Drosophila melanogaster: one gene and its partner. The protein of the gene in region 2 interacts with the protein of the main gene of each other region in a pairwise test. Each region holds a gene or a part of one and is shown on either strand. Other genes may lie near its edges.

Region 1 (3,944 bases), on a different chromosome or scaffold from region 2:
TGTTAGCTTACTGGCTCCGGAAAAAAAGTATTTCTCGCTTTGATTTCCTTAATTCAACTATTTATTTATTGTCAAAAATGTCAGTGTAGCCAGTTCACTTGTGTTTGGTATTGAGCCTAAAAACGCCACGCATATACTGTTATCTTAAAAAAAAAAAATACGTACTCTCTAGCAAAGAACGCAACCGGTTGGACTAATATAGTCCGGACTCGAACCAAACCGTTTGAAATCTATTAACCCTTATGTGCACACCTTAGCTTTTTTTTTGCTTTTTTTTTTAGATTTTTTAACACCATGCGCATTTACAATACAGTTGAAATTTTGTCATATCATATATTTATTTCATTTGCACAGTGCTTAACCCATCAATGGGCAACGGTAGGGAACGCCAGAGCGACAACAGTACTCCCTGCCCGCCTGCAGATTGGTATTAACCCATTGATTGTGACAGTTCTTGATGAACAAATAGGCCCGTTCCTTGTGACAATCGTGACCCAGTGCGGAGCATACTATATTTGCGGAATTCGGCAGATGTTGTACGATCTAAAATGGACGAAATGGTGAGTTATAGAGCGCTTCTCCTCATCTTTTCCTCCTCGTTTCCCCAGTACTCACCGTCTCTAGGCATTTGGTTTGACACTGCTTGCGACCGATGGCATTGCAGGGAAACATATGATCCAATTCCTGGTGGATAAGTGGCTTTGTCGGCAAGCCATTTGGGATTTGCGAGGAGAGGAAGACGCCGCATGTGCACGGCACTGGCTGATTATCCTGCACAGGCAGTCCCGCTGTCGGTGGCAAGGGAATGGTGCTAACCAGACTGCTGCTGCTCGATGGGTTTGTGCTCATCAGCGGACTCGCGGTGGTTGGCTCCATCGATCGTGTGGATCCTTCCGACGATCCGATGATGGGTGCCTCGCCAACGGTCGTTTCGGTGGTGCCATTGTTACCAATGGTTTCCGTGCTGGCTTCCAATTCGCTTGCGGGCGTTGTCATAATCACAAACTCAACGGCCGTGGGCCAATCCTCTTCGGCTGTTGTGCTGCTACTTGCAACACCAGTGCTGCTCATGGTGCTGGTTTCCAGTTTGACGGGCTTCGTCTTTATACGCTTGTCCTTGATGATGTTGCTATTGCCATAGAGCGGCTTCTTGTAGACTATCTTGGATGCCTCCAAATGGATGGCTAGCAGAAGTGTCAGCAGCAGCAGGGAATTTTTAAAGGCGCCTGATATATGAAATATATACGATATGAAATGTGTTCTTTAGCTAATATTACTTTCAAAGCTTACCCATCTTGGTATCTACGGAAACACTGAATACTTCTGCCTTTGCGCCATCCATTTTATATAAGCCATTTTCTTACTTGGCTTGCAGTTTTTCAAGATTTCGGTCTTCCATTTTAGTCGGCCCCCAACGAAGTTCAAGTTGTGAGAACCGGCAAAATTGTGTCAGGGTTAAGTCTGATTAAGCAGAATTTTCACACAAAGCGAGTGGAATTCATTCATTTGGAGGAAAGTGAGAAGAAAGAAAAAGAATTACTTCCGAAAATTATGCGTAATCAATAAACCCAAAAGTTGTGTCTTGAGCTGCACAAAGTTTACCTTACCGTTCTAAACTACTTTCCAAAATCTTTTTAAATATCCCGCCAAACTGCAATGAAACTGTTATGATTATAATAACATAATGGATAACATAAATAAACGGCCGATTAAACAGCAATTATTATCCAAATTATACAAGTTATAATATGGTAATATTAACAAACATTTCAACATAAGCAAAGCTTTGGTTTTTAATCTAATTATAGATTTAATTTAATTTTCATTTTTTGGTTTGTTTTTCGTTAAGTTAGTATTTTTTGCGCTGTTTATGGAACTTAACAGAAATACCAATCAATATTGGGCGGCCAACATTTGAAATATAAATACAGATTATCGATATGTATCTTGAACGAAGTTTTAAATGTTTGTTATTTGTTAAACTCAACAATCCTATAGATTTATGCCATAAAAATGTCAAAATTATCGTTGCTTCAAATGATTTAAGTACAAAATTCGAGTTTCGATAAACGGTTAACAGTGCCGTACTCACCACGGTGCGCCCAACAGCACGCACACACAGCCGGCTGTGGTGGGTTCGCTGGACAGGCAGTGTGGTGAATATACTAGTTGCTGGAGCTTGCCGCAAAAAAAAAAAAAAAGAAAACAAAACAGATCGAAAAACACAGCAAACAACAAAATTATACGCCATTAATTACCCGATAAACTTACCGATGGCCGATAAGCAACGGCTAAGTGATCCGTAACACCCAGCGATAAGATCCAGATAAGATTGGAATTAAATTTTGGGTTTGCCATCCGCATCGAAATCGCCGCAATCGGAATTTACTTGTACACCAGCCAACTCGCCGTTCAAGACGTCCAAGTTTTTTTTAATCCAGAAATCCCATACACTGCCAAAATGCCCGAATATGTGCCGGCACGGGGCTTCAAGGAGATGGAAAATCTGATCAAGCTGTACGAGAACCAGCGCAGCCCCATCTACATCTACTTCTACGGCGAGAAAGACAAGGACGGACGCAGCTGGTGTCCGGACTGCGTGGCGGGTAGGTGACGAATTCTCCTCGCCCAGCGGGGCGTTACTAGTCCAGTTGGGCACTCTACATTCTGCTTATCACGCTTCTCATTTGTGGGTTTCAGTTAGTTACTTTCTACCCAGCTAACTTGAGTTACTTTTGATTTGATTTTCGCTCTCCATTGAGAGTTCCATCTACATTGTACATTGTCCTCATCATTTCGATTCATTTCATCGCAGAGTTATAACATAACATAAAGAAGTGACATACATTAAGTTAATCCCATTATCGCTGATATTTTCCAGCCGAGGAAACTATCATGAGTGCCTTTCGCAACCACGCGCCGGCGGATTGCATGATCCTGGTGGTGGACGTGGGTAGCCGGGAATCCTGGATAGGCAAGGACAACATGTTCCGAAAGCCGCCATACTCGGTGGAAGGCATACCGACCCTTATACGCTGGAAGGGCGTGGAGCGCCTGGATGGGGATCAGCTGCTCAAGTCGAGTCTTCTGGAGCTCTTTTTCGAGGAGACCGATCCGAAGAAGTCCAATTTTGTCGCCCAATAAAACGCGATTTGGCTTTGGCTTAAACTCACTCCCACTCTCAGTCTCTCTCTCTATCACTCTCTCTCTCTCTCTCTCGCTGCGGCTCTCTTTCTCTTTGCTGCTTTGCGCTCAACTCGGTGGAAAGAACGAGTGAAATTGTCGTTGGGAGGGGTGGTGCTAAAAAAGGGGGGAATGGAGAAATGGGGGAGAACAGAATGAGTGGAGCATTTCTGGCTGGCAGCGCGTCGCTCGGCATTTACTCGTTTATTTGCACGCATGTCGTCGACCAGGACGAATCGTTTGGCAGAGCGCGGCTGAAAAAGGAATCGAAAACGGGGCTATAACGGTAATAGCGGCACACGCGTCCAACGGTAAACACGCGTGCCAACGCGCCATCTCGCTCGCACGCGCTAATGCCGCGATTTAAGTTTTGTTTTATTTTTTGCAAGTGTTCGAATCAAAAAGCCTAACAAAACACAAAACCCGAAACAGTTCTCAAGAAATACATAGGTAAATGCAAAGTAAGATATGTATATATGTAGCTAAACATAGCGGAAAAGCGCAGAGTATCATTGAATTTGAAGCACACGACCGCACAGTTTTGCAAGCTGATTAACTGTAAACATGCTGAACATAAACAATGGATAAAAAAACATGATAGATCCTGCCTAAAAGTGAATGGTTATAAATTAAGAATGGGCTTGCAACGGTAAATCCTGTTGCGTTTTGCTTTAACTGTTTGAAAATAAAAAAAAATATATATTTAATAATAGAATAATAAAAGGTTTCGTAAGTAAAGTAACATCAAAACTAAACTAAAG
Region 2 (3,596 bases):
CAGCTGGAGCAGTTCTCGATGGAGACGGCCCTTTCGCAGGCGGCTATTCAGAACACGAACTGGTTCTCCGGCTACCTCATCTTCGGTGCTGGCCTGGCTGTCGGCCTGGTCAATCTGTTCTGCGGCATTGCTGTGGGCATTGTGGGTTCGGGTGCCGCCCTCTCGGACGCCGCCAATGCCGCCCTGTTCGTCAAGATCCTTATTGTGGAGATCTTCGGTTCGGCCATCGGTCTGTTCGGCCTCATCGTGGGCATCTACATGACCTCCAAGTCCAAGATGGGCGACAAGGAGTAGGCGCCGTCGCCAGCCATGCAGTGTGAGTATGAATCATTGCAGAGACAGCCAAGGTCAAGAAAATAGCACTCGCGACGGAACAACTGAATCTTTATAACTTGTAGGTTGCATTGCGCGATTCGCGTCTAAGAGAATGTTGTAACGCACTTTTTGTTTGATAAACTAAGTAATAAGTTCATTTAACGCATAAACATAGAGGAGCTACCAGCTCTTCTCTGAGATGCATTTTATGAAACCTAAGCAATAGAACTCCTGATTGCCAATCCTTCGGTTTTACGAGTGCTATAGTCTCGACCTCAGTCAAACTCAAGCCGCGAAATAAACTTTCACTCTTCTCCCGCAGCCTTCGCCACTCCATTATCATCACGAAGAACAACACACATCAGAGCATTCCCCCATCCCCATGCAGACACGCACGACATCAGTGTTTGTGTATTTTTTTGGAAATTACGACTCGCTATACGCAGTTACTGCTTGCAGGAGACGCCCGACAAACCGAAATCCGATCAGCCGTAACGCTTTAAACTAGGACTTAGTTACTCATTAAGATGATAGTTGGTTAAGTTGGCAGTTGGTTTTCACGCCTCGCACGCTCGCAGTCACCAGCATCACTCAATCGACTGTGGAGTGTGCACGGTGTGAAAACGACCGTGATTTGTTTATTTCATTTCTTTGCCAAACGAAAGACATCGTGTGTGTGTGTCTGTGTTTGATTTTAAGCAGTTTGTTATGTTTGTTTCTACGCTGGCTCTTCAAAGGCTAATTTAAAATGTATTATATTTACTACCGCAAAACGATAAACTTGTATATTTCAAGCTACTGTTTGAGGCAGCAGTTGTAGATGGTTGCACAGTCGCATTATTATTATTATAGAAAGTATTCCATATTAAAACAAATAAAATATATACGTTTTGTTTATCAATATGTGTGAGAGTGTGACTACGGCGATGGCTTATCAGATATCAGAAGCACGCGCTAAAATGTTATGAGTGCGTTACACACATCATTCATACATATATATGGCACCTATTTGTTTTATAAAATGGTTCTCAGTTTGGTGCAAAAATTATATTATTAAACAAGCTTTGGAACAAGGAGGAAGGAAATAAACGAACTCAGGAACAAGGAAGAGGGATATGAATATTACGAATTAAACTTATTTGAATCAACTTTTCGTTCAGTGTATCAGTGCATAATGGGAAAGCAGCAATACTAGCAGCTTATGTTAAGTCAGCAGTAAAAAGAACCCGAGCTTTTGCTGCATTTGTTTATCCAAGCATATATGTATGGTGATGTGCATTTAAATTATGGGCACTTTTGGTTCATTCGCGTTTTCAGCGACTTCTGAAAAGGCAGTCTTACGGAACTAATTTACCAAAGTTATAAATAAACAATAATGTTCTTAATCTAAGAATAAAGTTTTTAAAAGTATATCGGTGGAGTGGACAATAAGAAAAAGTAAATGTCAATAAAATTAATGTTAATAAAAGAATTAGATCATTTGGTACCTGCCATAACGAATCCAGTTTGATAACAATGTGTAATCTAATAAACACAAAGGGCAATCCTGAAATTTGAACCCCCGCCAAAAAAAGGCCCCAAAGTTGGCAGCCCCTCGGCGCAGTGTTGCACGTCGCGGCCATTTTGAAAGTGACAGCTCCTTTTACCGTTTCTTTTTCATCCTCTTTCTTTCCGCGCCGAACGCTTCGCGAAGTCGCACGCCTTTTGAGATCTAGCTCGAATTAATTTCCCCGAAATGTCCGAGGAAGTGGTGGAGTCCAGCAGCCAGGAGGCGAGCCAGGTTATACCGCAGGAGCAGGAGGACTGGGCTGACGATGTCGTTACCACAATGCCGGCCCAGGAGGTCACCGAGTGGCCGGAAATCAAGCTTTTCGGGCGCTGGGCCTGCGACGACATCTCCATCAGCGACATCTCGCTGCAGGACTACATTGCCGTAAAGGAGAAGTTCGCCCGCTACCTGCCGCACTCCGCCGGACGCTATGCGGCCAAGAGATTCCGCAAGGCCCAATGCCCCATCGTGGAGCGCCTCACCAGCGGGCTGATGATGAAGGGGCGCAGCAACGGCAAGAAGCTCCTCGCCTGCCGCATCGTCAAGCACGCCTTCGAGATCATCCATCTGCTAACCTCGGAGAATCCGCTTCAGGTCACCGTCAACGCCATCGTCAATTCCGGTCCGCGCGAGGACTCCACGCGAATCGGACGCGCCGGCACTGTGCGCCGCCAGGCAGTCGATGTGTCGCCCTTGCGTCGTGTCAACCAGGTAATCGTGTTCGCATTCCACAAAGTCGTATGAAGTTAAAATGAGTCATTTTCAGGGAACTTCTTGTAGTTAAGAAAGTTATCTACGTAATTCTTACAGGCACTTGGACACTGCTTAAATTTAAAATAATAGGTACAATACATACCGATTTCAATGTAAATAATTAGAAAGCAGTAGCAGAAAGTTATTTTTATCCATTATAATAAGTCAAAATAGAACTTGACACAATAAAGTTAATAACTGAATGTTTTTTTGCAGGCAATTTGGCTAATCTGCACTGGAGCACGTGAGGCTGCCTTCCGCAACATCAAGACGGTGGCCGAGTGTCTGGCTGATGAGCTGATCAACGCCGCCAAGGGATCCTCCAACTCCTACGCCATCAAGAAGAAGGACGAGTTGGAGCGCGTGGCCAAGTCGAATCGTTAAGCTGCGGATTTTCTGCATTTCCATGAATTGATGCCGACTTACATAAGTTGCTATGTAATCATTTCATCTTCTAACTAAATACACAAATGTATTTTATTCCTTCTGTTTTTATTGGCATTCATTTCTACATATCATTTATATGTTCTATAAGAAATGATTATCCTGTCAGTTCGAAAAGATTTCATTCCACCGTGCCAACTTAAAATCGATTCTTTATATTCTGTTAATTCGAAGCTTTTCGCTTAAAAGATGATCTCTAAGATGAGTTTTGGATTATTCTTTATGCTGTTCGTACTGGGCGCCGCCTCGTTGGGCGCGGTTGGCATAATCTTCGCCAACGTGATGGTCAATATGGGTGAGCGCATGGGGCTCGGCTGGTTCCTGTACACCTCGAATCCCTTCCTGTGGTCCGGCATGGGCATCTTCCTCGCCTGCGCCCTGTCCGTTCTGGGCGCCGCCAGTGGAATCTACATGATTGGATGCAGTGTGGCGGGCGGCGGAGTGCGATCGCCTCGCATCAAGACCAAGAACCTGATCTCAGTCATCTTTTGCGAGGCGGTGGCCATCTATGGCCTGATCACGGCCATCCTGCTGT

What was found.
Region 1: the proteins of RpS5b (region 2) and CG3939 interact in a two-hybrid assay, tested with the Drosophila melanogaster proteins (one large-scale study listed by BioGRID).

What each region holds. Positions count from the first base shown.
Region 1 is NC_004354.4:3,173,053-3,176,996, forward strand, and holds CG3939 (uncharacterized protein), read left to right. Parts: upstream 1-1,965; 5' UTR 1,966-2,461; coding exon 2,462-2,606; intron 2,607-2,881; coding exon 2,882-3,144; 3' UTR 3,145-3,171; downstream 3,172-3,944. Other genes in the region: Fcp3C (follicle cell protein 3C), read right to left, coding at 358-543, 616-1,226, 1,291-1,342.
Region 2 is NT_033777.3:14,899,932-14,903,527, reverse strand, and holds RpS5b (ribosomal protein S5b), read left to right. Parts: upstream 1-1,964; 5' UTR 1,965-2,050; coding exon 2,051-2,575; intron 2,576-2,630; coding exon of another isoform or gene 2,631-2,648; exon of another isoform or gene 2,649-2,707; intron 2,708-2,833; coding exon 2,834-3,001; 3' UTR 3,002-3,096; downstream 3,097-3,596. Other genes in the region: VhaPPA1-1 (vacuolar H[+] ATPase PPA1 subunit 1), read left to right, coding at 1-294; VhaPPA1-2 (vacuolar H[+] ATPase PPA1 subunit 2), read left to right, coding at 3,251-3,596.